2 linked regions of the Elephas maximus indicus genome follow. Each later gene encodes a partner of the first gene's protein in a complex. Links are inferred from orthologs where the notes say so. Each region holds a gene or a part of one and is shown on either strand. Other genes may lie near its edges. The genes, in order: XKR8 and BSG.

Region 1 (9,724 bases):
TAGTATGGGAAAAGGCACAGAGGTGGGCACACAGGTGGTACATTCATTGCTGGGCACAGAGAGAATGCCTGGATCAGCCGGGAAGAGGGAATGGGGAAGAACTTCAGAGATGTATTTGAGCTTGTCTGCCTGCCTTTGGGAGATGGGCAGATTTTGAGGAGGGAAATGAGGGGCTGGGTGGACAATTCTGAGCCCTTCTGGGCACCCTCTCTTCACAGGTGTACATTACTGGCCATGTGCCCCCAGGGTTCTTTGAGAAGACCCGGAACAAGTTATGGTTCCGGCAGGCCTTCAACGAGAGGTACCTAGAGGTGGTCCGGAAGCACCATCAGGTCATCGCGGGACAGTTCTTCGGGCACCAGCACACCGACAGCTTCCGGATGTTCTATGATGACACAGGTACTCAACCCGGAGGGCGGCTGCCAGCTCACTTCCCGCCTTCTCTCACCAGCCTCTCTCAGTTCTGCTGTCTCTCGCCTGAAAGGTGTCCCCATCAGTGTCATGTTCCTCACGCCTGGAGTCACGCCCTGGAAAACCACGTTACCTGGAGTGGTCAACGGGGCCAACAATCCAGGCATCCGGGTGATTGAATACGACCAAGCCACACTGAGCCTGAAGGTCAGGAGCCCTGGGTCTGCTGGGAAGACAGGGGTAGGGTGGACAGGGACCTAGACACATCATAACCTCCCCTAACTCTCCTTCCCACCCAATCCACCCACTATTGACCAATGAACCTTAGAAAGGTTAAGTTACTTCTGCCCTTCTAGAGCTCAGATTCAGAACCCTGAAGCCACCTCCAAATCCTGTCACTGAGTCAGGTCAATTCTTCTTTTCCCAAACTCCCTTTGCCCCTGGATCATTGCCACAGCCTCCTACCTGGTCTCCCTGCCTCCAGTGCTGCCCCACTGTAGCCCATCCGCTATGCACTACAGAAGGGATTCGTCTTTCTAAAGCACTGCTTTCATCCTGTTTCTCTCCTGCTCAGAAACTTTCAGTGGCTCCTCAGTGCCTGCAATATAAAGTTGGATCTCCTTGGCCTGGTACTCAAGGCCTCCTACACTCTGACCTCCAGCCCATGCCCACCTTTTCCCTACACTGACTCAAGCTGGGCTCAAGCCAAAGCAGGCCCCCAACTCATCAAGCGCTCCTTCACCTCCTAGGATGTGCTTGTGTTTGTGGAAATCACAAAGAAGCATTATTCTCTCATTTATTCAACAAACGTATTAAGCATCTGCCATGTGCTAGACCCTGCTCTAAGCTCAGGGGATACTCAAGTGAACAAAAACAGACCAAGTCACTGTTCTCCTGGAGCTGACATTCTTACAGGAAGCAACAGACAAGAACTAAGTGAAATGAAGTATGCCACAGAGAGAAGTTCTAAGGAGGAAAACGAAGCAGGGTGGAGAGACAGGGTGGTGATGGGCAGGCTGTGTGTGTGCTATGTTACACAAGTCGGCAGGGTAAATGTCACAAATAGAGTGGCATTTCAGCAGAGTTCTGAGTGATGTGAGGGAGCAAGCCACGTAGGCACCTGGGGAAGGAGAGTGACAGCAAGTCAAAGGCCTCTTGGTGGGAACGCGCTTCGCATGTTTAAAAGAAACCTGGGTACTTGGCACCATTTTGCAGGAGGCGCTTGCACCATTGCAGTGGGGCTAAAGACACACTCTTTTTATGTTGCTTTTTATCCATTCGTTCTGCAAATATTTATATGCCAGGGGGCTTAGCATGATAGAAAATGCCCAGGCTGTGGGATAAACAAGAAGAGCAAGGAGGCCAGTGTGGTTGGAGTGGAAGGTGGAGGGGAGACTAGGTGGGAACGAGGTCAGATCACATAGGCCGTGATGAAGACTCTGGATTGGGAGGGTTTAGGGCAGAAGAATGAAATATTCTGAACTTAATTTCACAAAATCACCATGTCTGCTGTATAGGGGCAAAGGCAGAGGCAGGGGAAACAGTTAGGGACTATATAACCAGCTGAGAGATGGGGGCTAGGCCCAGGGCTGTAGTGCGAGAGGTAAGAAGTGTCGGATTCTGGGTGTATTACGAAGGCAAAGCAGACAGGATTTGCTGGTGGATTGGATATGAGAGAAAGAGGAGTCATGAAGGACTCCAAAGTTTTCAGCCTGAGCAACTGAAGGATGAGGTTGCCCTTTGCTGAGATGGAGTGACTGTGGGAGGAGCCAGAATTTTCAGCTTTGGGCCTGTTAACTATGAGATGGCTAAATGGCATACAAGAAAATGCCAAGGGAGGCGGCAACTGGATGTCTGAGTTGGAGTTTCAGGAAGAGCAACATACAGAGATTTGATATGAGAGCTAAGAGCATCTAGAGGACATTTAAAGCCAGAGACTGGATGAGATAACCAAGGTCCTTGATTCTGAGGAGGAAATGTAGATAAAGAAGAGGTCTGAGGATTTTTAAGAGTATGGTCTGCCGCTCACACAGGCACTCATAGAATCTGAGCACAGTCTCAAGAATCCCCACCCAGCCTGTAACATGCCCTGCATCCTTCTCAGATAGACCTGGGTTTTAATCCTGGCTTAACCAGACATAGACTTTTTGATCTCTCTGTGCCCCAGTTGCTTCATCTGTGAAACAGGAATGACAATACTCTCACAGGGTTTTGAGAGGACTGAACGGCTAAGGTACTTGGATGCTAACAGAAGGACTGGCAGTTTGAGTCCACCCAGAACCGCCTCAAAGAAAGGGCTGGCGATCTACTTCGGAAAAATCAGCCATTAAAATCCCTATGGAGCACAGTTCTACTCTGAAACACAGAGTCTGAATCGACCTCAACTGTTTGTTTTTAAATGAAATAACATATGTAATGTGTCTGGCATGCAGTTGCTGTTCATATATAGCAGTTCCGTGTACTCTATCTCCAGTGACCTGAAGCAGGTATACATACAAATTTAACCCGAAAGTGTTGGACAGAGAAACTGTCTTAGTCATCTAGTGCTGCCAAAACAGAAATACCACAAGTGGATGGTTTTAACAAAGAGAAATTTATTCTCTCACAATCTAGCAGGTTACAAGTCCAAATTCAGGGCACTGGCTCCAGGGGAAGGCTTTTTCTCTCTGTCAGTTCTGGAAGAAGGTCCTTGTCCTCAATCTTCCCCTGAGGAGCTTCTCAAGCACAGGGACGCGGTGTCCAAAAGTCACGCTCTGCTCCTGGTGCTGCTTTCTTGGTTGTATGAGGTCCCCAACTCTCTGCTTGCCTCCCTTTCCTTTTATCTCTTATAAAAGGTGGTACAGGCCATACCCCAGGGAAACTCCCTTTACATTGGATCAGGGATATGACCTAGGTAAGGGTGGTATTACAAATCCCACCCTAATCCTTTTCAACATAAAATTATAATCACAAAATGGAGCACAACCACACAACACTGGCAATCATGGCCTAACCAAGTTGATATATACGTTTTTGGGGGGACATGATTCAATCCATAACAGAAACTCTTCCAGATTCTAGTCCTGAGGATGCACAGGAGTCCCAGGGGTCTGGAGTGTATCTCAGTTCCCACCAAGTTCTACTTGGCCTGTGGTTAATCCCACTGTTTATGTTGCTTTTTATCCATTCATTCTGCAAATATTTACTAAGCATCTTTTATGTGCCAGGAGCTTGGTGTGACAGAAAATGCACAGAGTGTGGGGTAAATGACCTGGGTTCCAATCCCGGTAGGATCCTGGCCAAGTGAACCAACCTCTTTAGGCCTCAGCTTCCTCATCTGCGAAATGGAGATAATAAGTGCAGTTATCTTATCAGATCCAATCTAAGAATGTCTGCCAAACATACTTAAAAAAAAGAAAAACCAAAAAACCGGTGCCTTCTAGTTGATTCCAACTCACAGAGACCTCAGAGTAGAACTGCTCCACAGGGTTTTCTTGGTTGTAATTTTTACTGAAGCAGATCACCAGGTCTTTCTTCTTTGGTGCTGCGGGTGGGTTCACACTGACAACCTTTAGAAGTCAAGGGCAAACAGTGTGCGCCACCCAGAGACCTTACCAATAAATGCTCAATAACTAATGGTGGTTATTTTGGCTGTAAAGAAGCTGGGGGCAAATGCAAGGTGTAGGATGGGAGTGGAACCTGGCAGCTGTTAAAGGCAGGCCTTGCACCGCCTCCCCATTCCAGGACACAGTTACCTACTTCATGAACCTGAGCCAGGCGAACGCGCAGGAAACACCAAGCTGGGAGCTCGAGTACAAGCTGACCGAGGCCTATGGGGTGCCGGATGCGGGCCCCGCGTCTATGCACGTGGCGCTAGGCCACATCGCCCGCGACCAGGGAGCACTGCAGCGTTACTACATCTACAACTCTGTTGGCTACGGCAGCCCGGACTGCGAGGAGGCCTGCCGCGTTGAGCACGTGTGCGCCGCGCGTGAGGTGGACTTCGACGCGTACACTGCTTGCCTGCGCAACTCTGGCGCCTCACCGGCGCCCAAGCTCGCGCTGCCGTTGGCGGCGCTGCTGGGCCTGTGCACCCTGCTCGTGCGGTGACCTTGGCGCCACACGCTGTCCCCTGGGCAGCTCACCTTCCTCCTTGTAAAACCTGGGGAACATCACCCTTTGGAGACCCGGACTTTTCCATCATTTCTCCTGCGCCCCTAGAGAGTGAATTAGTAGGGGGCAGCCGGATCCGGAGATGAAGCACCAGCCCCCCCCCCACCACGTTTCCTTCAAGTTTCATGTCTTATTAAAAAACAATGTGCATCGTGCATGTTATTCTGTGCGGTTTCTCCTTTAATATGTGAGTAGTTTTGAACTCACAGTGAACGTTTCTCCCTCTCTCTCCACAGTGATGGAAGTAAAATGAGTAGCCCAGGAAGATGCGCCCTGGTGATCCGGTGCCCTTTGTGTAACTCGCTGCCCGAACTCTGGGCACGCTTAATTTGCAACGTTCACCACTTAGGGATCAGAACGTGCCTTTTTGTTTTGCTTTTTGCAACCGAGCCGATGCGAGGGATCATGAGTAGAGCCCGGGCTCTAATCTCCTAGCCCTTCCCGCCATCTTGGGCCTCTGTCGTTAGGTGCCATCCAGTCGATTCTGACTCATAGCGATCCCGTGGGACAGAGCAGAACTGCTCCATAGGGTTTTCTAGGCTGTAATCTTTAGGGTACAGACCGCCAGGTCTTTCTCTCGTGGAGCCTCTGGGCGGGTTGAATCGCTGGCTTTTCGGTTAGCAGCCAAGCGCTTAACCGTTGCGCCACCGGGGCTCCTTGTCTTGGCCCTCTAGGCGCCTCAAACATAAAATAAAATCGCTGGGAAGCCTGCTGAACTAAGCGCTGTGCGCCTCGGACGGTCGGTTTTCAGGCCTACCGGCCCTTGGGATGCACCCATTTGGGCGGGGGTGGGGGACGGGTGGCAGAGCCAGAGCCCCGAGCGGCATCCAGGGCCGCGGGAGACCAAGCCTGACGTGGGGCAGGCCCGGGCAGGGTCCAAGGGCCTCGCTCCTCCCCGGACGAGGCGGGGCGGGGAAGTCCCGCCCAGCAGGCCCCGGCCCAGGGCCGCCCCGAGGGCTGTGCTTGTCTCCTTCCTGAGTTGAAAATCCCGGACCCCAAGGGTAGGCCGGAGCCGCAGAGAAGGAGGGGTTGGGGGGAGAGGCAGGCGGGCCATGCCCTCGTCGCCCCACGCCGCCCTCCTTCGGGACCTGGTCCTGGGCGTACTGGGCACTGCCGTCTTCCTGCTCGACCTGGGCGCGGATCTGTGGGCCTTCGTCCAGTACGTGCTCAGCGGCTGCTACCTGTGGGCAGCGCTGGTGCTGGCGCTGCTGCTCCTCGCCTCGGTCGCGCTGCAGTTCTTCAGCTGGGTCTGGCTGCGCGCCGACCCCGCCGACCTGCACAAGTCGCAGCCCTCCGGCCGCTGTCTGGCGCTGCTACATCTCCTGCAGCTGGGCTACCTGTACAGGTGAGCGCCCCGCCCTCGGGAAACGGGAAGGATACCGAGCCTAGGGGGCGCCTCCTGAATTTGGGCTACTAGTGTTGGTGAGAGTCCTGACACGGGGGTTGGGGGTGGGGGGGAGGGGAGTGTGGAAAGTGAGGGGAGGAGGGAACCGGGACTGGAGACAGGAAACAGCCCCACAGGTGAATGCCCCGCCCCTTAAGGGAAGAGAACTGCTGAAAGCCCTTAGAGCTCTTCTAGTCTACCCACCCTTGTACAGGCGAAGAAACTGAGGCCCAGGGAGGAAAGGGAGGAGCACGGGCTTTGGAGTCAGCTTTCTGGGATCTAATTTTGCCACCTGTGACCTCATTCCTGCGTCACTCTGAGCCTCAGTTTCCTCCTCTGTAAAAAAGAAGAGGTAGTCTAGAGATAGCTCTGCCAGGCCGGCCTACTGTGACGTGTGAAAGAGTTGGAAAGTGCCTAGCACAGTGCTTGGCATGAAGTCAACTCCACTGTAATGGCAAAGACCTGCAGCCTCAGTTCAAAGCCTGGCTGTTCCTTCTAGCTGTGAGCACAGTGTTGGGCAAGTCGCTTGACCTCTTCAGGGTTTTTTACTCATTGTTCGAATGGGCATGGTAACAGTGCCTACCTCTGAGCTTTGTGAGCATTAAATAAAATGTATGAATTTCCCTGGCACAGAGTAAGCATCCAGTAAATGTCAGCTAGCATCAGATTACCTGGGCCACCCCGGGAGTTTCAGCTGTCCTGACCCCAGAGCAGTGCTGTGCCCTCACAGCTGCCTGGCTTGCACCCTTTCTTTCCCAGTTATATTCTCTTCCTTGAACTTTTGCTCCCCACCGCCCCCAGACTGAACACGAGGGCAGAGATGGTGTCTGACTCATCTGTGTCCCATGAGCCAGCTGGGACTGGGCTGGGTCTCAGAGCATGTGTGTGGATTGTGCTTCTTTTTAGAACCGGCGGGGCTCTATAGAGGTGGGAAACCGAAAGCAAGGTGTCAGAGTCATAGGATGAGGTCAGGACACGGTGTGGCCTGGGTGGGATGGTGTGGCTGGAGCCAGGATCCCCTTTTGAATCCATTTTTGCAGATTCTCTCCAGATCCTGCCTTGACAAAGCTGCAGTCTCCAGGAGTGGGTTAGAGGAACTTTGACTGCGTTTTGCCCTAGGGACCATAGAGGCCTCAATAAAACCCCAGATGGGTGGGAAGGGGCACAGTTATTATAGTCCTGGGCAGGCATGACAACATCGAACACCTTCCCTTCTTCTGTTTCTGCCAAGCACGAGTCAGACAGACTGCTGAGCTTCGCTGCCTATGCGCAGAAGCTCTCAGTGGCTCCCTGTTGCCCACAGGATAAAAGGCCTTGCTCCTTGGGCTCCTCTTCACAAAGTATGTTTTGTTCACCCCTTGCTTTCGAATCACCTGGGGATGCCTATTTAAAATGCAGATTTCTGGGCTCCTACTGCAGACTGAATGAAAATCTATTCATTCTTTTCATGGTTTTGCATAAAGGGGATCTCTGCTTCCAGTCCAATCCTTGCCCCCCTCCATAGGTAGGGTGCTTTTTTAGAGTACTGTCTGACCTGGGTGTGCCTGTGCTAAGAAGTTCTCAATGGCTTCCTGTTGCCTGCAGGATTCCAAAAGATTCTTATGCCTGCTAAAATTTGAGAACTACCGTCTTATGAATTCAAACAGTCTTGGGTTCAAATCCTAATCGCGCTACTTATTAGCTTTTTGATCCTGTTTCCCCCTCTATAAAATGGGGGTGTTGCAAGGAGTAAATGGGACAAGGTTTTGTCATGCGCTTGGGACAGTGCCTGGCCAGTAGGAGCAGCAGTAGTTGCATGTATCCCCATTTTACAGATAAGGAAACAAAACTCAATGAGGTTAACTTGCTTGCCCAAGGCCCACAAGGTGTAAGTGACAGAGCTGGGATCGGAGCCTGCCTGCATCCACCAGATGGTAGGGGAAAGAGGAACACCACCAGACACTAACCTGGCCCCTTGGGCATCTTATGTGCTGCCTAGGTGTGTGAAGGGGCTGCAGCAGGGGCTGTTGGCGTGGCGGCAGGAGGCACCCTCAGAGTTTGAACTGGCCTACGCCGACTTCCTCTCCCTGGACATCACCATGCTGCGGCTCTTTGAGACCTTCTTGGAGACAACGCCTCAGCTGACGCTGGTTCTGGCCATTGTACTGCAGAGCGGGCAGGCTGAGCACTACCAGTGTGAGTGATGCACCAGCAGCCAGCCCCCCTGTGGGTTGGGAAGGTTTCCCTCTAGTGTCACGAATATTTGCTCTTTTTTAAAAAGGTTGCTTGGAAAAGAGGAGAAATGCTTTAGTCAGGCAGCCATGGGTTCAAATCCAAAGTCACTCTCTAGCTGTATGACTTTGGGCAAATGACCCAGCCTTTCTGAGGGTCAGTTTGTTCTCATCTGTAAAATGGACACAGTCAGTGCTTCTACCTCATAGTGTTGATGAAAGGATTAAGAGATGATGCACATAAAGCAAAGTGCTTGGCGCATCATAAACCTGCATTGTAATTCTCACTGTTTTGAAGATAGCAGAGATAAAGTGTATGGGGTACCTGACACAGACTAGGCAACTTGTTAGTCATTAAGCTTTTATTGTGCACCTTCACATACTCAAGTTTTTATTCAGCACCTGTTCTGTGCCAGTCAGTGTACTGGGGCACAGTGGTGAATAAGACAGACACAGCCCCTGCCCTGCCAGGATGACAGAATATAAAATAATAATTACAGAAAAGTATGTCCAGTGATCTGAAGGGGAGAGGCAGGTGACAGAGGCTGGCAGGGCCTCAGAAACCGTGGGGAGAAATTTGTCCAGTAAGGAGCTTTCAAATGAATTTTGCCTGTAAAAGGGAAGTGACTTGCCCAAGCAAGGTCACAGTGGCTAAGCTAGGACTCCAACTCATCTCTGATTCAGGGCCCTCGGCTCCCCCTTCACCACTGGACACTTCGAGGGTCCCTGCTGTAAATGCTGCGGCATTTACAGTCCCCCAAACCCATTCCCCCCGCCGTCACTCGCTGTGTGACCCAGGGAGCCTGGCCTTAGTTTCCACGACTGTACAAGATGAGGGTCGAACTCGATCTTCGAGGGCCCTTCCAGCTTCTGCTAGTCCAGATCTGTGATAATTTTAAATCTGATAACAGCAGTCTTCATGATTGAGTTTCCTGCTATTAGCCAGGCACTTTGCAAAGTCCTTTGCAGTCTAACACTGTTCGTGTTCCCAGCAGCCCTTAGGTCAGTGCTGTATTTATTTATCTCCATTTTACACCAAAGGTAAGAGGTGCAGAAAGGTGAAGTGACTGGCCCTGGGTCACACAGCACTCACTGGATATATAGTTTTTATCCATTTGAGGGAGGTGGATGTCTAGGACCATGGTCAAGTGGAGACATTCTACACTGTGTGTGTATGGTGGGGTTTGGGGGTGGAAGAAGACGTATTTTTAGTAGCTAGGTACTGTGGTCAGCCATGGGGATCCCAGGTGAGCAGGCCCTGTTTCCTACCCTGGAGAAGCTGAGGGATAAGGAAATAGTAGGTAATTACTGTGTGATAAGGCTCCAGGCTTTTTTTTTTTTTTTTTTAAGGCTCCAGGCAGAAGTGGGTGGGGTGTTACAGGGACGCAGACACAGCTGAAGTGGGTGAGTGGGGTCAGGATGGGTGACTTGGGTCAGGATGGGTGACTCTAGGGGATATTCAAACTGGAACTTGGAGAGCAAGTGGGAGTAGGCCAAGTGAGGTGGGGCATGTGCTCCTGCCCCACCTAACATGATGGCAAAGGCTTGTCAAGGTCTTAGAATTTGG
Region 2 (9,490 bases), about 68 Mb from region 1:
GGGATGGAGCCGGAGCCAAGTAGGACGTGGAGCCAGGAGAGGCGGGACGAGAACAATGCTCTATGTGCAGGGTGGGGCTGGGAGCCCGGGTGTGATCTGCCAAGCGGGGGGGGTGGGGGTGGGGTACAGGCTAAGGGACTCAGAGGGACTTGGAGAGAAGGGCCAGGCGGCTGGGACGGGCCAGGGTCTGTGTGCCGCCACTCACGTTCGCGGAACAGCACGCTGGCCTGGGCGTGGACCCAGCGGATGCGGGGTGCCCGGGTCAGGTGGTTACGGTCAGGGTCGTTGCTGGCCCGGCACTCATAAGTGCCTACATCGTCCACAGTAAGGCCGGCAATGGACAGGGTGCTGGCCGCATGCTGGCGGTAGGTGGTGTGGATGTGGACACGGTCCTGCCGGGCGCCATCCCAGAGCTGGGCGCAGGGCGTGTCGGGTGCAGGCCCCTGGAACCACCACTGGATCTCAGGGACAGGGTTGCCCACAGCCTCACAGTGCAGCTCCACGTGGTCCCCTGGCCCGCGCTCCTGGGACAGCGGTGACCACAGGAAGCCAGCTGTGCAGCAGGCGGGGTAGGCACCAGCGTTAGTGCAAGGGGAGCCGATGGAGAAAAAAAGCAAGTTAGTAGATTCCGCATCACCCTACTGAGCGCACCAGGTGGCAAGAGGAGCCGTTCAGAGGCTGGGCACCAGACACCAGGTCTAGAGGAGCACCCACCAGGACCGTATGACCCTGAAGGACCCGAGGCCCCCAGAGGGCACAGTGACCTCCAGCGGGAGAGCCACACACACACACTTGGGGGTTGCGCGGAGCCACGAGGGGGCCTGAGCTGCAGCCCCAGATGATTGGCCACCAGGAAGCACTGAAGCTACTACCCCCCCAAGGCAGCGCTCTGGCTCACACCCCATCCCTCCAGGAGAAACACATCCTGACAAAACAGAAAAGACCCCCTGCAGGGCAGGGTTACCCACGGAGAAGTGGGCTGAAGCTCACACCCCACAACCCAGAAAGACAGAAGTCTTTCTGCCGGAAGACATCACAGCTGGGCTGCTTTCTAGAGTACTCCATGGCTGTGATGTTGGCTCCCACCCCCACAGGTCACGGCGGACTGGCCCTACCCAGGGAGTCACCTGGCCATTGATGGGGCAGCCAGGCCAGACCCTCCGCCCCACCTCTGGTCACTTGCAGGTGCCTCCTTTAAACAAAAACAGAGGATAGAACATCTCAAAATCCCCAGCTGATGCAGGTGAAGCGCGAAGCCCAGCAGAAGCATCCTGACACAGCTCCCGGAGGTGCTGTCTGCTTTGGGCAGAGGGACAGGTCCTCACACAGGTGTGTCTTCCTCCCCCACAGGCCCCCACCACGAATGTGTCGTGCAGTCCCTGAATACTGCTGAGGGACACACACACGTATGCACACACACAGCCCCAGTTCCAAGGCAGTGGTGAGAAGAGCCAAGTGGTCCCCCACGAGGCAGCCCAAGGCAGGCAAGGCGACTGTCCTCGGCAGAGAGCCACCTCTGGTCTCCTGAGCTTCTCAGAGAGAATCAGGCCTCCCCAGTTGCGAAACCAGCAGCTGAGTACAGGGCAGGGCAGGGCTGGAACAGGGCAGGAAGTGGAGTCTAAGGTCCCCCCGCTCCCCGCGGGCTTCTCTACCTTTACAGCTGTTCTCACCACCCAGAGCTGCTAGAAAAGAGGCCTGGGGGGGGGGCGGGGGGGGGGGGGAGAGTCTGTTCCCTCTGCGTTTGTGAAGGGGTGAGTGTGGACTACCCCCACCCCCATCTATCAGCACCAGCGGGGCAGCATCCATGGGCCACATCCTAGAGATCTGGGGCTGCTCCGAACAAGGTGGATGTTGTCCCCAAGGGGCAGAAGTAGGCTCTGGGGGATAAAAACCCCTAGTGTCAAGGCCACTCTCAAGAGGCAGTGAGGATCACACATGATGTTAATTTTCAGTGTGGGACAATTAGTAAAAAATGTCTCAAAAGGCCCCTTACTGGGCAAGAACTGAAAAAAGCAGAAAAGCCTCCCCCACTTCTGCAGGAGGTTTAGGATTGGATCCCGCCTGGCCCCCAGGGTTCACAGGAGGCCCCCAAGAGCACTCAAGACCTCAGGAAGCCCTGACCCCCCGCTCCTAGAAAAGTCAAAGCTGATGCTGGCCACGTGATCTGCAGCCTGTGATCTCAAGTAAAGTCACCTTCATCTAAAAACAGCCACTCCCTCCTGCTTCCCTCTGGGCTGGGGGCCAGCCACGGGCCTGGAGGTAAACAAGCTGCCCAGGCCTGCAGGGGAGGCGCCCCGCCCGGGTGGAGCAGACAGCAGGGCTGCGGGGCACTGTCTGCCATCTGTGGGTCCCCCGGCCCCAGATTTCCCCAGTGGGAGAGAAGAGCAGGGCTGTCAGCATGAGAAAGGAAAACGAACCAAGTCTGCCCGGCAACTCCACCCTACTCCTGCTCAGCTCAGACCACCGCCTGCCCGGGAGAGAGTGTGGCGCTCAGCATTAGTTCGAGGTGAGACGTGTGTTGAGCTTGAACCCAGATAAGGATGCGTCCCCAACACCAGGTGGCTTCTAAAGGTCCCCTGCCAGCAACAGCCTATCTGCCGCCCCCTGGCATATCTGTGTCTCAGCATCTCAGTTAACAGCTGTGTGATTAGAAAAGCGAAGACCAAACAGTCTTGAAGTTGGTCAGGAGCTCCCACCCACTGTGCCCACTGCCAGAATGATGCCCCCACCTCTCCCAAGCACGGATTCCAGCCCTCACGTCTGCACTCTGTCCCCTATGTGCGTGTGGACACCGTAAATCTTTAACCCAAAACCAAACGTGTAGTCCAGATACAGGAAAGGAACAACCCTATGAAGCAAGAGAGCCCTTCTTGTGTTTCCCCTCAGACCATTCTTCCCACTTCAGCAAACTGCACTGGAAATCCACCACCACTGAATCTTTAAAAAACTACTCTGGACATTTCCTACCCTGAACTTTGGGGCCAAGGCAACCTCGTCATGACCTTGGAGTATCTTCCCTCCCTCCTGGGCCTCAGTTTCCCCAGCTGTAGGAGCAGGTGCGGACTAGAGCCCAAGGTCTGGTGAGGCCCAGCAGCAGGCCCCAGGTGGCACAGGGGACAGTGCACACCACAGCAAGGCTGAGGCCCAAATCCCATCGGGAATGATAATCCCCCCACCCAGGAAGCTGACCCATTTTTGAGCCATTTCACATGCACCTGTATTCGCGTCAGTGTGAGAATGACAGGAGCCCATTTTCCAGAAGAGAAAGCCCAAGCTGCCCAGGACATACTGGGACCACAGCCATGGATCCGAGTTCAGGGGAGGTGGGTCTTTCTGCTGCACCCCTACCCTAACACAGGCCCCAGGCAGGGGGTGACACCGAGATCCAGTCTCAGGTCGCACTCCAGGCCCTGCAGGCTCCAAGGGGCTCCCGGGACGAATGAGACGAGACCGAGGCCAGGCCCAGACTCCGACCCCGCAGTTCTGGCCCAAAGGGGAGGACGCTCAAGGACCCAGGCCCCGGTCTCCCTCCCTCTGGTCCAGACGCTCCTGCTGGAAGCGGCGGCAGGCGGCCCACCTCTGGAGCCCACCCCATATGCCCTCATCCAGGGCCAGTCCCCTCCCGGAGGCTCCAGCCCGGGGGCCCGAACGGCAGCTTGGGGACTGCACCTCCAGCACCGCCCCGGGCCAGGCGCCCCAGGTGCTCCCCCCAAGCTCGGGGGCTTCGCTCCCAGGTCCCGATGAGAAGCCCACCCGCCGCGAGCCCCGGCCGCGGGCTTCAGCCAGGCCTGTCCGGAGCTCCCCGGGAGCCCCCAGCGCGCGGCCTCACCGCCACTCCGCCCGGCCGCCCCCGGCGCCCCGGACCCGCACCGACGCCCCGGACCCCGCACCGGCGCCCCGCACCCGCACCGACGCCCCGCATCCGCACCGACGCCCCGCACCCCGCACCGGCGCCCCAGACCCCGCACCCCGCACCGGCGCCCCGCACCCCGCACCGGCGCCCCAGACCCCGCACCCCGCACCGGCGCCCCGCACCCCGCACCGGCGCCCCGCACCCGCACCGGCGCCCCGGACCCCGCACCGGCGCCCCGCGCCCCGCACCGGCGCCCCGCACCCGCGGCCTCCATGCCGGGCCCCCTTCGGGCGTCGCGACCCCGGCCCGGTCCTCACCCGCCCCGGAGGCGCCCTCGACGCCCAGGAGCGCGGCCACCAGCACCACGAGCAGCACGGCCGCCATGTCGCCTCGTCCGTCCTCCGCCGCCGCAGCCAACTGCCGCCACCCGTCGCCGCCGCCGCCCGCGGCCGCAATAAGAACCGGCAGAGGCCGCGGGCGCGCGCGCGCAGGGCGGCGTCCGGGGCGCGCGCACGCAGGGCACGCCGGCCGGTCCGTTTGCGCACGCGCGGGGGCGCACGTACGCACGCGCTGACTCAGACCGGTTAGCGCTAAGGGCATCCGGGCGGCGGCACCAGGCACGTGTCCGCGGCGAGCCACGCCTCCTGGCCTCCTGGCCCCCGGCCCCGGCGTTGCTAGGAAACGCGGGCGGGGCCGGCGAGGACCCGGCTGGGAGGCCGTTTCCCGCCCTGGCTTCTCGGAGAGTCTGTGGGCCGCGTCCGTTCGTCCTTCCGGCAGCGAGTCTTTGGAAAAGCTCTTAGTGAGGCTACAGGGTGCCAGCTGTGACCAGGTGGGATGCGAACCCCTGGCTTGATGCTACCAGCTTAGCAAATAAAAATACCGGACAGCAGTTAAATTTCAGATAGAGAACAAATAATTTTGTAGTGTTTAAGTGTCCCGTGCAATATTTGGACATAGTTATTTAAAAAAAAAAAAAAACCTATTTGTGTTTCTCTGAAATTGCAGCTTCACTGGTCGACCTCCATTTTGTCTGGCAACTCTGCCCTGGGGCCTGTGTTTTTACTACACACACTGACGCGAACGATGAATGCCGTGTGGGGTGTTCGCCTCAGAAATTAATCAACACTCGGATTTGACTCGCATAAACTCGTTTCGTTTACCGCAGGGGGGTCCTGCCAAACAAAGCACGCAACAAGGCCCCCGCCCGTAGAGCCAGAGAATCAGGCAACAGCCACCGTTATCTCCGTGGTGAGAGCTCCGTGGTGAGAGCCCCGTGGTGAGAGCCCCGTGGTGAGAGCCCGTGGTGAGAGCCCGTGGTGAGAGCCCGTGGTGGGAGCCCCGTGGTGAGAGCCCGTGGTGGGAGCTCCGTGGTGAGAGCCCGTGGTGGGAGCCCCGTGGTGGGAGCCCCGTGGTGGGAGCCCCGTGGTGGGAGCTCCGTGGTGAGAGCCCGTGGTGGGAGCCCCGTGGTGAGAGCCCGTGGTGGGAGCTCCGTGGTGAGAGCCCGTGGTGGGAGCCCCGTGGTGGGAGCCCCGTGGTGGGAGCCCCGTGGTGAGAGCCCGTGGTGGGAGCTCCGTGGTGAGAGCCCGTGGTGGGAGCCCCGTGGTGGGAGCCCCGTGGTGGGAGCCCCGTGGTGAGAGCCCGTGGTGAGAGCCCGTGGTGGGAGCCCCGTGGTGAGAGCCCGTGGTGGGAGCCCCGTGGTGGGAGCCCCGTGGTGGGAGCTCCGTGGTGAGTGCTCCGTGGTGAGAGCCCCGTGGTGAGAGCCCGTGGTGAGAGCCCGTGGTGAGAGCTCCGTGGTGAGAGCCCCGTGGTGACAGCCCCGTGGTGGGAGCCCCGTGGTGGGAGCCCCGTGGTGGGAGCCCGTGGTGGGAGCCCCGTGGTGGGAGCCCCGTGGTGAGAGCTCCGTGGTGAGAGCTCCGTGTTGAGAGACTCCAGGCGTTTTCTCTGAGGAGTGGTCTCGGGAGGAAGGCTCGACCACGGGTGGGGTCCCTCACAGCTGGGCGCGAGGTTGGCAGCAGCGAGGAGCTCCCATCTCTGCCTTCTCAGCGGGTGGGCGGAAGTTCAGGGTTTACATACAGATGCCTCGTCTTGGCCTCACAGGATGGGCCCACTGTGACATCAAAGACTAGTTGGTAACGTCTTCTCTGCAGAGTTAGAGGTTAGCCGAATGTCTCGTCTTTTCTTCAGGGTTAGAGATGAGGAAGTTGTTTAGATTTATATCTCAAGACTAGTTTCTGAAGCTTGCTATGCTGTTTGCTTTCGTCGCAGCATGCCAGGTTTAAGTCAACTTTATGGTTATTCACGCTCTTCACCCACTTCACTTGCTTCTATTTGTCAGTTAGGAATTTCTAAATCACTTTCTAATGATTTACAGTTAATGGTTAGAGAGGCCTACAAAGGCAGACATATTTCTATTTCTAAATTCATATTATGAGTACATACATATATGTATATATGCAAGGATAGGAGTGACTTAGACTTAATATGATTGGAAAGCATTACAGAAACATACAGAACAATAAAGTAATTTCAAATGCTGATAAATGCAAATGTAAAAAACATCGCTGTTGAGTCGATTCCAACTCATGGCGGTAGCCCAGTGCGGCAGAGTAGAAACTGTATGTGCTCTGTAGGGTTTTCTTTCTTTTTTTGCTTAAACAAGCAGGAATTTATTTTCTAACACTTAGGCTGGAAGTCTGAATTCAGGGTTTTGGCTCTCGGGGAAGGCTTTCCCTCTCTGTTGGCCCTGGAGGAAGGTCCTTACCTCTTTTCAGTTTCTGTTCCTCCGTGATCTTCCTGTGACTTGGTACCTGTCTTCCCCCATCTCTCTCCTCAGCTTGCTTCCTTAATCTGCTCTTTTATGTCTCAAGAGAGATTGATGTAAGACGCACCCAACACTAACACTTCCTCATTAACGTAACAAAGAAAAGCACTTCCCAAATGGGACTATAAGGACACATAGGGTTTTCAGTGACTGATTTTTTTTTGGAAGTAGATTGCCAGGCCTTTCTTTCCAGGCACCTCTGGATGGACTCAAACCTCCAGCCCTTCAGTTAGCTGCCAAGCACATTTACTGTTTATACCACCAGGGGATCAAAGACCTAAATATAAGTACTGAACTAGAAAACTCTTAGAAGAAGAAAAAAAAACAGAAAATTTTAATTTTTTTCTAAGAAAACATGGGGATAAATCTTTGTGACTTAGATTAGGCAATGGTTTCTTAGACATGACACCAGAAGCACAAGAAACCAAAGAAAAAGTAGATAAGTTGGACCCCATCCAAACTTCTGTGCTTCAAAGGAAACCACCAAGAAAGTGCAAAGACAACCCATCAAATAGGAGAAAGTATTTGCAAATCATATGTCTGATAAAGGACTTATACCTGGGATCTATAAAGGACTCTTACAAGCTTATAATAAAAAGACAAACAATACAAAATCAGCAAAGACCCGAATAGCCAGTTTTCCTAAGAAGATGTACAAAAGGCTGATAAGCATAGGAAAAGGTGCTTAACATCATTAGTCATCGCCAAGGGCCCCTTCACCCACACTGGGATGGCTATTATAAACAGACAGATGATAACAAGTGTTGGCAAGGACGCGGGAAGACAGGCATCTTCATCCATTGCTCATGGGAAGGTAAAATGGTGTAGCCGCTGTGGAAAACAGTTTGGTGGCTCCACAAAAACTCAAACGTAAAACTGATGTGACCAGCAATTCCACTCCGAGCTATATATAAAAAATATATATATATACATACAGACGTATAATGTGGAGAAAGGGGACAGCCCAAGTGTCCATCTGCAGCTGAATAGATAATACAACGTGGTCCGTCCACACAACGGATTATCAGCCATAAAGAGGGAAGAAGTACTGATACCTGCCGTAACGTGGACGGACCTCACAAACATGATACTCCGTGAAAGAAGTTAGGCACAAAAGACCACATATTGTCTGATTCCATTTTGATATGAAATGTCCAGAATAGGCAAATCCATAGAGATGAAAGTGGATTAGCAGTTTCCAGGGACCAGGGGAGGAGGGATGGGGAGTGACTTTTAATGGGTACAGGGTTCCCTTTTGGGGCGGTGAGAAGGTTCGGGAACCAGGCAAAGGTTTTGGTTGCACAGCATTGTGAATGCCCTAAAAACCGCTGAGCTGTGCACTTTAAATGGGTAAAGAGCCTGGTGAGCAAATTACATCTCAATACAAAAATAGGGTGATGTGAGTTCCCAGGGGAGAGTGCCTGCTTCAGGTGAGGGTCCAGCAGCTTCTTCAAGGAGGTGACATTTGAGAACACAGTGTCCCCTGCCTGAGCAGGAGGGAAGCGTTATCCAGGGAGGGGTCTTCTCAGAGCTGATGGAGCCCAAGTATGGTGGACAGGGAGGGGAGGCTGGAAGGACGGGCAGTGCTGGGCGACAGAGGGGCATGCTGATGAAGGAAGGGGCTGAGCTGGCAAGGGCTTCAGGCCAGGGATGGCTGCGGGTCAGGGGCCTGGGCCTCAGAGCAGCCGAGCCCCAGCCCTGGCAGCCATCCAGGCTTAGAAAGGCTGCCAGCCCCACTGGGGGATTGGGAGCTACGTGCAGAATCGGGGAGGACCACGAGGCCCAGGCAGGGGCCACTGGCTTCAAAGCCCTTCCAGGGTTGTAAACAACCCCTCCTGCCTGGCTGATATCCTGAGCCTCCTGGCGAGCTTCTGCTGAATTCCCCCTCGGCATCCCACATGTCGGAAAACAGGCCTCCTGGGAAACATGAGGGCCACCTGCAGCTTCTGGAAGCCTTAGTCTTCATGTACAAGGTCAAGCTGCATCTCTTTGAAGACACGGTGTCCTGGCACTCCCCGGCCCCCTGACCCATGCTCTGCTCACCACTGCCCCCTCGGACAAGAGGGTTCATGCCTCTCTGGTTCCAAGAAGAGACATTTCCTTGACCACCCAGATACGGCAAATAAAATGAAAATACAAGATGCCTGGGTGAATTTTTTCCGTAAGCACACCCCATGCAGTCTTCGGGACAGGTTGCTGTTCCTCGTTCAGTCGATTCCATCTCACGGCGACCCCATTTGTGCAGAGGAGACCTGCCCCGTAGGGTTTTCAAGACTGTGACCTTTCAGAAGCAGATAGCCAGGCCTGTCTTCTGAGGTTCCTCTGTATGGGTTAAAATCATCAAATAGTCAAGCACTTAATCGCATGACACCCCTGGACTCTCTTTTTTTTTTTTTTTAAATAATAGGTGGAGCACATGGCATCTTTAGGGCAGCAGAGAAACGATGCAGGGTGTGGTGATGGGGGCAGATCACAGCTGCATTTGTCAAAACCCATGTTGTTGCTAGCTGCAGTTGAGTCAAGCCCGACTCACGGTGACCCCACGCACAATGTAATGAAACTGCCTGTTCTTTCTTTGCAATTTTTTTGTAAACCTAAAACTGCTCTAAAAAATAAAGGCTATTCAACTGCTCCGACAGGGATCACAGCAGAGGGTCCTGGAGAAAGCAGGAGAAAAATATAGAATAAAATTCTAGTTCACACACACTTAAAAAAGACCAGACCTGCTGGTCTGAAAGAGGCTAAAGGAACCCCTGAGACTATGGCCCCAGGCCATCCTTTTAACTCAGAACTGAAGTTATTCCTGAAGTTCACCC

Evidence for each region.
Region 2: the proteins of XKR8 (region 1) and BSG are in contact, whole or in part, in a cryo-EM structure (PDB 7DCE), measured with the Homo sapiens proteins. The link is inferred for Elephas maximus indicus from reciprocal best matches to the Homo sapiens genes XKR8 and BSG. Residues at the interface, in NP_060523.2 of Homo sapiens: His232, Leu236, Val239, Leu242, Trp243, Leu246, Gln247, Arg280, Gly283, Arg284, Ile287, Phe291, Ser294, Asp295, Leu298, Ala301, Thr302; in NP_001719.2 of Homo sapiens: Trp326, Pro327, Gly330, Ile331, Glu334, Val335, Leu338, Val339, Ile341, Ile342, Phe343, Tyr345, Glu346, Lys350.

Annotation. Positions count from the first base shown.
Region 1 is NC_064821.1:68,370,358-68,380,081, forward strand, and holds the start of XKR8 (XK-related protein 8), read left to right. Parts: upstream 1-5,449; 5' UTR 5,450-5,615; coding exon 5,616-5,908; intron 5,909-7,925; coding exon 7,926-8,122; intron 8,123-9,724. Other genes in the region: SMPDL3B (acid sphingomyelinase-like phosphodiesterase 3b), read left to right, coding at 219-399, 485-618, 4,135-4,500.
Region 2 is NC_064821.1:307,786-317,275, reverse strand, and holds the start of BSG (basigin), read right to left. Parts: upstream 4,335-9,490; 5' UTR 4,238-4,334; coding exon 4,171-4,237; intron 1-4,170.